Callithrix jacchus: one gene and its partners. The protein of the gene in region 3 interacts with the protein of the main gene of each other region in a pairwise test. Links are inferred from orthologs where the notes say so. Each region holds a gene or a part of one and is shown on either strand. Other genes may lie near its edges.

Region 1 (3,994 bases), on a different chromosome or scaffold from region 3:
CACCCTAAACAACTATGACCTTGTCTTAACTTGATTACATCTGTAAATACCCTCTTTCCAAATAAAGTTACACTCCCAGGTCCTGGAGTTAGGACTTGAACTATCTTTTGGGGGAACACAATTCATCCGCAGATAGGTGAGAACTGGCTCATGTTATAGTGACATGAGGATGCGGTCATCATTTAACTTGTAAAGTTATGTTCTAGGAGGTACTAAAATATTTGGGAATTAGTATAGAAATGAAAGTAAATACATATTGGTTATTATTAATGAGCCTTTCTTTTTTTTTTTTTTTTTTTTTTTTTTGAGACAGTGTCTTGCTCTGTCGCCAGGCTGGAGTGCAGTAGCACAATCTCCGCCTCCCGAGTTCAAGCGATTTTCCTGCCTTAGCCTCCAGAGTAGCTGGGACTGCAGGCACGCGCAACCATGCCCAGTTAATTTTTGTATTTTTAATAGAGACGGGGTTTCACCATGTTGGCCAGGATGGTCTCGATCTCTTGACATTGTGATCCACCTGCCTTGGCCTCCCAAAGTGCTGGGATTACAGCGTGAGCTACTGCACCTGGCCATTAGTGAGCCTTTCTAAGAAGGTGAATGAGATTTGAGGAAGTCATGAAAGGAAGGAAAGTTCTTCTCAACCGTTCTGTCTACCTGGTTAGCGTATATTTACTATTCTAGTTATTGGCTTTGGTTTTGGTCATAAGAGACTGAAAAATGTAGAGGACAATTAGAATGAAAGTGTTTTTAATGTAGCAGTACATACGATATTAGACACATGTTTGCTTTTTGGGATTTGAAGTAATGTTCTTTAAATGGCCTATACTCTATGATGCTTGTGAGTAAATACCAAATCCAGTTTGCATTAACTTTTTTCTTCATTCTCTTCCTTCATTTAAATGAAACAGCTATCTTCATCCAACAAGCCATAAAGCCATTATGTGGCATAACATCCTTTTTGAGAGGTGAATATTATTGAGTGAAAATGGCTGACAGAAGTGGGAAGATTATTCCAGGACAAGTATATATTGAGGTGGAATATGATTATGAATATGAAGCAAAGGACAGAAAGATTGTGATAAAACAAGGGGAGCGGTACATCTTGGTGAAAAAGACCAATGATGACTGGTGGCAAGTCAAGCCAGATGAGAATTCCAAAGCATTTTATGTGCCAGCCCAGTATGTGAAGGAGGTCACGCGCAAAGCTCTAATGCCACCTGTTAAGCAGGTAGCTGGTCTGCCAAATAATTCCACAAAAATAATGCAGAGTTTGCATCTTCAGAGATCAACAGAAAATGTGAACAAATTGCCTGAGCTTTCAAGTTTTGGAAAGCCATCATCGTCTGTTCAAGGAACAGGTCTTATTCGTGATGCCAATCAGAATTTTGGACCCAGTTATAATCCAGGTCAGACTCTCAACCTAAGTCTGGACCTGACCCATAATAACGGAAAGTTTAACAATGACTCACATTCTCCTAAAGTTTCCAGCCAAAATAGGACACGCTTATTTCCTGGTCCAGAGTTCTTGGACATAGAGAAAACTAGCTTCTCCCAAGAACAATCTTGTGATTCTGCAGGAGAAGGCTCCGAAAGAATACATCAAGATTCTGAATCCGGTGATGAACTTAGCAGCAGCTCCACTGAACAGATAAGGGTAAGATTAAAAATAGAATGAGGAAATACTCTAGTAAAAACCATCCTAGTAAAAACATTAGTTACGGTTTTTCTTTTAATTGAAATATTTGTAAGAGTTAAGACTTGTTTTGCTTTGTATTTTCAGAGTACATGGGTTCTCTCCTGATTTAAAGAGATAGAAAATATGTGAAATAACTTGTGGAGTTGATAAAGGTCACTTTTTGGTTTTCATAATTATTTTTATACCATTACAGGACTAGATCTACTTTTAAGTGTGGAATCTATTTTTTCCCCTCTCTCGATTGATTACGTATAAGGCAGAGGGGATTTACTTAATTTATTCAGTGATGATATTTCTTTTAATAGAAAAGTTTTTACTCTTCTACCTGTACCCATTTTGACTTGTTTCCAAGAAGTCTTCAGGTGATAATGGTTATATGAGGAAAGATGTCATTGGAATAACTGCTAACTTTTGTCTTAAGTGTCTTTAAGTATCCACACTTGATTTCAGTGCATATTACCCTGGAAAACATTTTCTGTTTTGATGTTTCTTTTTTTTGTTTTGTTTTGAAGACAAGGTCTTGCTCTGTCACCCAGGCTGTAATGCAGTGGAGCAGTCATGGCTTACTGTAGCCTGTACCTCCTGGGCTCAAGTGATCCTCTCACCTGAGCTCCTCCCCGGTAGCTAGTATTAAAGGTGTGTGTCACCACACTCACCTAATTAAAAAAATAATTGTTTTTGTAGAGACAGGGTCTCACTATGTTGCCCAGGCTGGCCACTTCCTCAACTCAAGTGATCCTCCTGCCTTGGCCTCTAGAGAGCTGGGATTATAGGTGTGTGCCACTGCACCTGGCTTCTTTTTTTTTTAACCTAACTTTCTTTCGAGATTAGGTCTATGCCATTTTATTTCTCGAGTGAAGTGAAGACATTTTAAAAGTACATGCATGAAGCTGAAACTTGAATATATTTTGAAAAGTGTAATTTTAAGTGAATTTAAAAATAATGAATTTTTGGTGTGAAGCTCTGTTGTAAAATTATTCATCAAGTCAATGAATAATTGTGAGGTGTGCCCTTAAGGTCTGATTGTCATGGAAGTAGATTCTTTCTGTAGGTTATAATTTTTCTTGTGACATTTTGGAATGAAAATAGGAAAAAGGAAGACTCCTAGAAAAACTTCTAGTGTTTGAGATGAAGGAAGCTACATTAAATAGCTCTGTCAGTTTATGATTGTGTGTCTTAATGGGTTTTTATTCAGTCTTTATGTGATACTCTGACATAGAATATATAGCTATTTTTCTATATATAGCTCCTTAGGGAATTAATTAAGACACAGGATTCCATCCAGCCATCACCACTATTTCACACTTCAAATTACATTTTATATATTATGTACACACAAAATCCTGTTGTTTATCAGGTTTTCCTTTTGTGGAATCTTGGTTTTGTATTAAGTCTAAGAACTAGTTTTAACTTTGTGGAAGTTTTCCCTTTTATAGATCATGCTTTTATGTCAAGTCTAAGAACTCATAGTTATATTAGGCTTCTCCAGAGAAATAGAACTGATAAGGGAGTGTGTGTGTGTGTGTGTGTGTGTGTGTGTGTTTGTATACAGTCATGCACTGCATAATGACATTTCAGTTAATGATGGACTTCATCTATGATGGTGGTACCTGAGATAATACTATATTCTTTTTTCTTTTGTTTTTTTTTTTGAGACGGAGTTTTGCTCTTGTTACCCAGGCTGGAGTGCAATGGCGTGATCTCGGCTCACCGCAACCTCCGCCTCCTGGGTTCAGGCAATTCTCCTGCCTCAGCCTCCTGAGTAGCTGGGATTACAGGCACGCGCCACCACGCCCAGCTAATTTTTTGTATTTTTAGTAGAGATGGGGTTTCACCATGTTTACCAGGATGGTCTTGATCTGTTGACCTCGTAATCCACGTGCCTCGGCCTCCCAAAGTGCTGGGATTACAGGCGTGAGCCACCGCGCCCGGCCGATAATACTGTATTCTTAATTCGCATTTCTGTGTTTAGATACCAGATACTTGACCATTTTGCTCCAGTTGCCTACAGAATGCAGTACAGTGCAGATTGTACAAGTTTGTAGCCTAGGAGCAATAGGCTATACCATCTAGTTTTGTGTAAGAACACTCTGTGATGTGTGCCCAAAATGAAATTGATTGTTACATTTCTCAGAAAATATCCCCATCGTTAAGTGATGCATGAAGTTCAGAATTTGCAGGGTGGACTGGCAGGCTAGAGACTCAGGGAAGAGCTCATGTTACACTTCAATACACTTCGATACACTTGTCTGATGGCAGAATTTCTTCTTGCTTGAGGTAGGTCAGTCTGTACTATTTGAC
Region 2 (3,994 bases), on a different chromosome or scaffold from region 3:
GAGCCACCGCGCCCTGTTTAATCTTTGTATTTTTTTTTTTTTTTTTGAGACGGAGTTTCGCTCTTGTTACCCAGGCTGGAGTGCAATGGCGCGATCTCGGCTCACCGCAACCTCCGCCTCCTGGGTTCAGGCAATTCTCCTGCCTCAGCCTCCTGAGTAGCTGGGATTACAGGCATGCGCCACCGTGCCCAGCTAATTTTTTGCATTTTTAGTAGACGGGGTTTCACCATGTTGGCCAGGATGGTCTTGATCTGTTGACCTCGTGATCCACCCGCCTCGGCCTCTCAAAGTGCTGGGATTACAGGCTTGAGCCACCGCGCCCGGCCCATCTTTGTATTTTTAGTAGAGACAGGGTTTCACCATGTTGGCCGGGCTGGTCTTGAACTCCTGGCCTCAAGTGATCCACCTGCCTCAGTCTCCCAAAGTGCTGGGATTACAGGTGTGAGCCACCATGCCCAGCTTGAACTGCAGTTGTGTCTGAACATAAGTCTGTGTTCTTTTCTCACTGAACTTTGGCGTTCTCTGTTGTACTTTGTCAAAAGTGAACTTTGAGCTCCTCCTTTTTGATATCCTTTTATATTACTGAGTATGTACAGTTGATTATACGGTCAGGCTGAGTTTGAAGACAAACTTTTACTTCTTCCATTTTCAAATGGAAGAAAACTTGTCATTTTCTAAACCATCTTCCCGTCTCTCCTCATCCTTTAGTAGAAGGAATAGGAGCTGAGGCTAAATAGAAGCACCAGCCTTAGAAAGTGGGTTCATGGCCAGGTGTGATGCTCACACTTGTAATTCTAGCAATTTGGGAAGCCAAAGTGGGCAATTGCTTGAGCTCAGGAGTTCAAAAGTAGCCTGAGCAATGTGGCAAAATCCTGTCTATAAAAATACAAATATTAGCTGGGTGTGGTGTTGCACACCCATAGTCCCAGCAACTTGGGGAGCTGAGCCAAGAGGATTGCTTGAACCCAGGAGGTCCGTGCTGGAGTGCAGTGTTGCAATCTTGGCTCACTGCAATCTCCACCTCCCAGATTCAAGTGATTCTTGTGCTTGCCTCCTGAGTAGCTGGGATTTCAGGCACCCACCACCACGCCCAGCTAATTTTTGTATTTTTAGTAGAGATGGGGTTTTGCCATGTTGATGGTCTCAGACTCCTGGCCTTATGTGATCTGTCAACCTAGTGCTGGGATTATAGATGTGAGCCACCATGCCCGACTTTCTTGGATATATCGACATGGAAAGGAATTAAAGGTTAACTTTAACTTAATAAACGAGGATATCCAGATGTCCAATAAGCGTATGAAGTGAGCTGAGATCGTGCCACTGTGCTCCAGCCTGGGTGACAGAGCAAGACCCTGTCTCCAAGAAAAAGAAAAAAGGAATTTAGAAAGTGGGTTTATTGGTTGGGCACGGTGGCCTAGCCTGTAATCCCAGCACTTTGGGAGGCCAAGGTGGGTGGATCACCTGAGGTTGGGAGTTCAAGACCAGCCTGACCAACATGGAGAAAATTCAAAAAATTAGCCAGGTGTTGTGGCACATGCCTGTAATCCCAGCTACTCGGGAGGCTGAGGAAGGAGAATTGCTTGAACCCAGGAGGCAGAGGTTGCAGTGAGCTGAGATCTCCATTGCACTCCAGCCTGGAGCTCAAAGCAAAACTCCATCTCAAAAAAAAAAAAACAAAAAACAAAAAACAGTGGGTTCGTTATACCTCTGAGTCTAGAGCTGAGAAGTGGGTATGTTGTTATCATTGTGAACATGCCATAACATGTGTCTAATAAGTACACATCATGAGGCATGGAACTCATTATTAGACATACCACTGGATATTGAATTTCTGCAAGGAGTTTTTAATATTTTCTTCTTCCGTTATGTAGGCTGGAAGTGGAGCCCTGCCGATAGGCCCTCTTTTGCTGAAACACACCAAGCTTTTGAAACCATGTTCCATGACTCCAGCATTTCTGAAGGTGAGAATCTATAGAATTTACTGTTGGTGACTAGTTCTGGGTAGTGATGGTGATGATAATGGTAATTACATTTCGAAAATGATTAACTTCTGTAGTTTGGGACTCTGTTTTATGATACTGAACTAATTTTTGACCTTGGTTATTGCTGTGTTGCTTTTTTGCTATTTTCAGTGCATCTTTGTGTCTCATATATTTTAAATTGAAGTTGTATTTTAATTAGAAATTTATTCATCTTCCCTTTAACATTAGTAAGTTTGGTAGCTCATTAAGCATCAATATTTAGGATGTAGGAAAGAGAAAAGGAAAAAATAAGTAAAAAAAAATTCTAACTCCCTGAACTGCATCTACAAAGCAGAACCAAGTTGTAAAAACAATATTCAGACATTCCATTTTTGGAAATAGATCTTAAGGAAATAAGAATATGAACAAAGATTTAACTGTAAGGACATTGCATCAGAATGTAGTTTATAATAGTGAGAAATTATGAACAACTTAAATATCTAGTGGACTGCAAATTATTACATTCATATAGCTGAATATTTAAAATGATATTCTTAGAGAGATATATATATCTGAAGCATGAGATTACAGGCATGAGGAGCCTCATACCTGTAATCCTAATCCCAGCACTTCGGGAGGCTGAGGTGGGTAGATCACAAGGAGTTTGAGATCATCCTGGCCAACATGGTGAAACCCCATCTCTACTAAAAATAAAAAAAATAGCTCGGCATGGTGGCAGGTGCCTGTAATCCCAGCTACTCAGGAGGCTGACACAGGAGAATCGTTTGAACCCAGGAGGGAGAGGTTGCACTGAGCTGAGATCAAGCCATTGCACTCCAACCTGGGTGACAGATTGAGACTCTGTCTCAAAAAAAAAAAAAATCAAGCCAAAAAAATGAAAAATAATAACATCAAATTTTAGCAAGCATGCAGAGTAACCAGAGCTTTCATGCAAAATAGTATAGCCATTTAGGGACAGGTTGGCAGGACCTGAAAAACGTGAATGCTCATATACCTTGTGATCCACCAGTTCTCCTGTGTTTGTGCCAGTCTGATGTGCATAGCATTGTCTACCAAAAGACACATGGCAGGATGATGCTAGCAATGTATTGGTAGTAACCCCAAGCTAGAAACAACCTAAACATCTATCAAGAGGAGAACAGGTGGATTGTGGTATATTCACACATTGGCATACTACACAGAAGTGAGAACCCCTGCCACATGCAGCAGCGTGGACAAATCTACAGACATGATACTGGGCAAAAGAAGACAGAAGAGTACATATTTTATGATTCTGTGTATGTTTTTTAGTACTCTCTACTTGTCAGTTCCTTCTCAGCTGTGTGCCTTTTCTGAAAAGAGCTCCCTTTCTCTGTTATGAAATTGTTCTTTTTATCAGTCCCCTTGTCTTCCTGACAGAAGTAGCTGAGGAGCTTGGGAGAGCTGCCTCCTCGTCATCTGTTGTTCCATACCTGCCCCGGCTACCTATACTTCCTTCCAAGACTCGGACACTGAAGAAACAGGCAGAGAACAAGGAGAACATTGAAGGGGCACAAGATGATGCCACAGAAAACTCTGCTTCCAGTTTAGCACCAGGTATGGGTCTCTAGGCAGCTAGAATCAAAATAGAAACTACCTTGTTGAAAGAAGCGTGGGATATGAGGCTTTTCTGTCCACTTTCATGCCCATCGTCCCTGAGGAAAGCATGGAGTCTCTTTCACCCACCTGTGAAGTCCTTGGCTCCACACTGCCAGTGTTAGTTGTCCTGATCTGTCCATCCATCATACAACTCTCCCTCCAGTTTCATCTCCTTAACCCTGGGTTCCCAAGTAGGCATCATCTTTACAGGTCCATCAAAAACTTTGCTGAACCTCATAGAAGGGAACAGATTGCGCAGTGGTTTTTAAAGAAAGGATGAATGTTGAGGTGATAACCAGCAGGTTATCTCCCCCCATTTGTAACCCACATCACATTTGGAACACCAGTCACTGTGCAGTGATAATGTATTTATTTTTTGCCACTGAGTCCCGCCA
Region 3 (2,891 bases):
CTATTTGCTCCTTGATGCAAAACCCCTGTTTTTTCGCTTGTTAAATCACATAGAGCCCCTCTCCTGGCTCATGCCTCTAATCCCAGCAGTTTGGGAGGCTGAGGCAGGAGGATCACTTGAGCTCAGAAGTTTGAGACCAGCCTGGGCAACATAGCCAGACCCCATCTCTATCAAACATTTTTGAAAAATCAGGCGAATTGGCCGGGCACAGTGGCTAACGCCTGTAATCCCAGCACTTTGGGAGGCCAAGGTGGGCGGATCACGAGATCAGGAGTTCGAAACCAGCCTGGCCAACACGGTGAAACCCCATCTCTACTAAAAATACAAAAATTAGCTGGGCCTGGTGGTGTGCGCCTGTAGTCCCAGCTACTGGGGAGGTTGAGGCAGGAGGATCTCTTGAATCCAGGAGGCGGAGGTTGCAGTGAGCCAAGATTATGCCACTGCACTCCAGCCTGGGTGACAGAGTGAGACCCCGTCTCAAAAAAAAAAGAGAAAAATCAGGCGAGTGTGATGATGTGGGCCTGTAGTCCCAGCTACTCAGGAGGCTGAGGCAGGAGGATCACTTGAGCCTGGGAGGTCAAGGTTGCAGTGAGCTATGGTTGCACCACTGCACACCAGCCTGGGGAAAGAGAGTGAGAACCTGACTTAAAACAACAGCAACAACAAAAAAGCTCACAGGGAATTGCGTTTTCCTGTCTGCCTGTCTCCATTGTTGTAGGGAAGCCCTGAAGAAAATGAAGGATGTCTATGAGAAGACACCCCAGATGGGGGACCCTGCCAGCCTGGAGCCCCAGATCACCGAAACCCTGGGCAACATTGAACGGCTGAAATTGGAAGTGCAGAAGTATGAGGTCAGAAAAGACCCTGGGGAGGGGTGGGGGCCGGCGGGCCTGGCTGAGTCACTGCAGGGTGGGGTGGGGGTTGGGGACAGGGGAGGTGCTTGGAGCGGGGAAGGGGGTTCTCCAGCTGTTTTCCATCACAGCCTTGGCGGTGCCTGAGTGATCTCAGGGATCCTCCGGGGCCAGAGTGGGCTGACCTGGGAGCTCTGTCCTGGAAACGATCTTGGCGGTCCTCTCCTCCCAGGCGTGGCTGGCAGAAGCTGAAAGTCGAGTCCTTAGCAACCGTGGAGACAGCCTGAGCCGGCATGCCCGGCCTCCTGACCCCCCCACTAGCGCCCCACCAGACAACAGCAGCAACAGTGGATCACAGGACACCAAGGAGAGGTGAGGGGTGACGCCAGAGTGGGTGTGTTCCCAGGGACCCAGGAGGGCACATCTTTATCAGCCTAATTCTCCCCAAACAGCTCTGAAGAGCCTCCCTCAGAAGAGAGCCAGGAAACCCCCATTTACACGGAGTTTGATGAAGATTTCGAGGAGGAAGCCACATCTCCCATAGGTCACTGTGTGGCCATCTACCATTTTGAAGGTGAGGACGGCCAGAGTGGGCTTGCGGGGTGTCTCTATCTAGGTTCAGTTTAAATCCGTCTAAAGCAGGGCTGGGTACTTTGGGAGGCTGAGACAGACAGATCACTTGAGGTCAAGAGTTCCAGACCAGCCTGGCGAACATGGTGAAACCCCATCTCTACTAAAAATACAGAAATTAGCCAGGCGTGGTGGCGCATGCCTCGGGAGGCTGAGGCAGGAGAATCTTAAACCTGGGAGGCGGTGGTTGCGGGGAGCCGAGATCGCGCCATTGCACTCCAGCCTGGGTGACAGAGTGAGACTTGATCTCAAAAATAAAAAATAAATAAATTTGCCTAAAGTAGATCTAAGCCTATCTCCACCCCCATGACAGGGTCCAGCGAAGGCACCATCTCCATGGCTGAGGGTGAAGACCTCAGTCTTATGGAAGAAGACAAAGGGGATGGCTGGACCCGGGTCAGACGGAAAGAGGGAGGCGAGGGCTACGTTCCTACCTCCTACCTCCGAGTCACGCTCAATTGAACCCTGCTGGAGGCGGGAAGAGGGGGGCTGTCGGCTGCTGCTTCTGGGCCACGGGGGTGCCCCAGGACCTATGCACTTTATTTCTGACCCCGTGGCTTCGGCTGAAACCTGTGTAACCTGCTGCCCCCTCCAACCCCCCCACCTGACTCCACCTGTTGCTCCAGATGGACCCGCCGTGCCTTCTTCCACCATTGTTCCACCATTGATGTACATACTCATGTTTGACATCTTTTCTTCCTGCTGCTCGGCTCCGGCTATTTTGTTTTATACAAAAATGGGAAAAAAATTAATTATATAAAGTTCCTGGAGTCGGTGCCTTATTAGAAGATTTAAATACTGGGAGTGGAAGTATCTTAACGCCACATTTCTTACAGGCCACACACACAGGGAACAAGAAAGGGCAGGTGCTCTTGGGCATGCCTTGGGTCAACCCTGCCCCTTTGGGGAAGTTGGCTTTATGTCATTGTCATTGGCTGCCTGCTTGTGACTCAGGTAGAGAGAAGGATACCAAGTTTCTTTTTCTTTTTGAGATAGTCTCACCCAGTTGCCCAGGCTGGAGTGCAGTGGCGTGATCTCGGCTCACTGCAGACTCTACCTCCCGGGTTCAAGCAGTTCTGCCTCAGCCTCCCAGGTAGCTGGGATTACAGGCACACACCATCACGCCTGGCTAATTGTTTTTGTATTTTCTCTAGAGGCAGGGTTTTCCCATTTTGGCCAGGCTGGTCTTGAACTCCTGACCTCAAGTGAGCCATCCACCTTGGCCTCCCAAAGTGCTGGGATTATGGGCGTGAGCCACTGCACCCAGCCAGGACACCAAGTTTCATCCCTTCTGAATGCACTGCAGCTTCTGAGAATGGGTGGCATTTATTGAGCACCTACTGTTTGCCAGGCATTCTCTTCCCATGGTCTCATTCCTGCCACAATTCTTAGAATGTACATGGTCTTGAC

The links.
Region 1: the proteins of TRIP10 (region 3) and ARHGAP12 interact in binary tests that used the Homo sapiens proteins (3 or more experiments, as listed by UniProt). The two-hybrid records come from large-scale screens. The link is inferred for Callithrix jacchus from reciprocal best matches to the Homo sapiens genes TRIP10 and ARHGAP12.
Region 2: the proteins of TRIP10 (region 3) and ABL2 interact in binary tests that used the Homo sapiens proteins (3 or more experiments, as listed by UniProt). The link is inferred for Callithrix jacchus from reciprocal best matches to the Homo sapiens genes TRIP10 and ABL2.

Annotation. Positions count from the first base shown.
Region 1 is NC_133508.1:31,663,831-31,667,824, reverse strand, and holds part of ARHGAP12 (rho GTPase-activating protein 12), read left to right. Parts: intron 1-905; 5' UTR 906-982; coding exon 983-1,651; intron 1,652-3,994. UniProt on the Homo sapiens protein: GTPase activator for the Rho-type GTPases by converting them to an inactive GDP-bound state.
Region 2 is NC_133519.1:24,172,122-24,176,115, forward strand, and holds part of ABL2 (tyrosine-protein kinase ABL2), read left to right. Parts: intron 1-1,871; coding exon 1,872-1,961; intron 1,962-3,380; coding exon 3,381-3,557; intron 3,558-3,994. UniProt on the Homo sapiens protein: Non-receptor tyrosine-protein kinase that plays an ABL1-overlapping role in key processes linked to cell growth and survival such as cytoskeleton remodeling in response to extracellular stimuli, cell motility and adhesion and receptor endocytosis.
Region 3 is NC_133523.1:6,342,315-6,345,205, forward strand, and holds the end of TRIP10 (cdc42-interacting protein 4), read left to right. Parts: intron 1-718; coding exon 719-851; intron 852-1,083; coding exon 1,084-1,223; intron 1,224-1,303; coding exon 1,304-1,425; intron 1,426-1,794; coding exon 1,795-1,943; 3' UTR 1,944-2,242; downstream 2,243-2,891. UniProt on the Homo sapiens protein: Required for translocation of GLUT4 to the plasma membrane in response to insulin signaling. Required to coordinate membrane tubulation with reorganization of the actin cytoskeleton during endocytosis.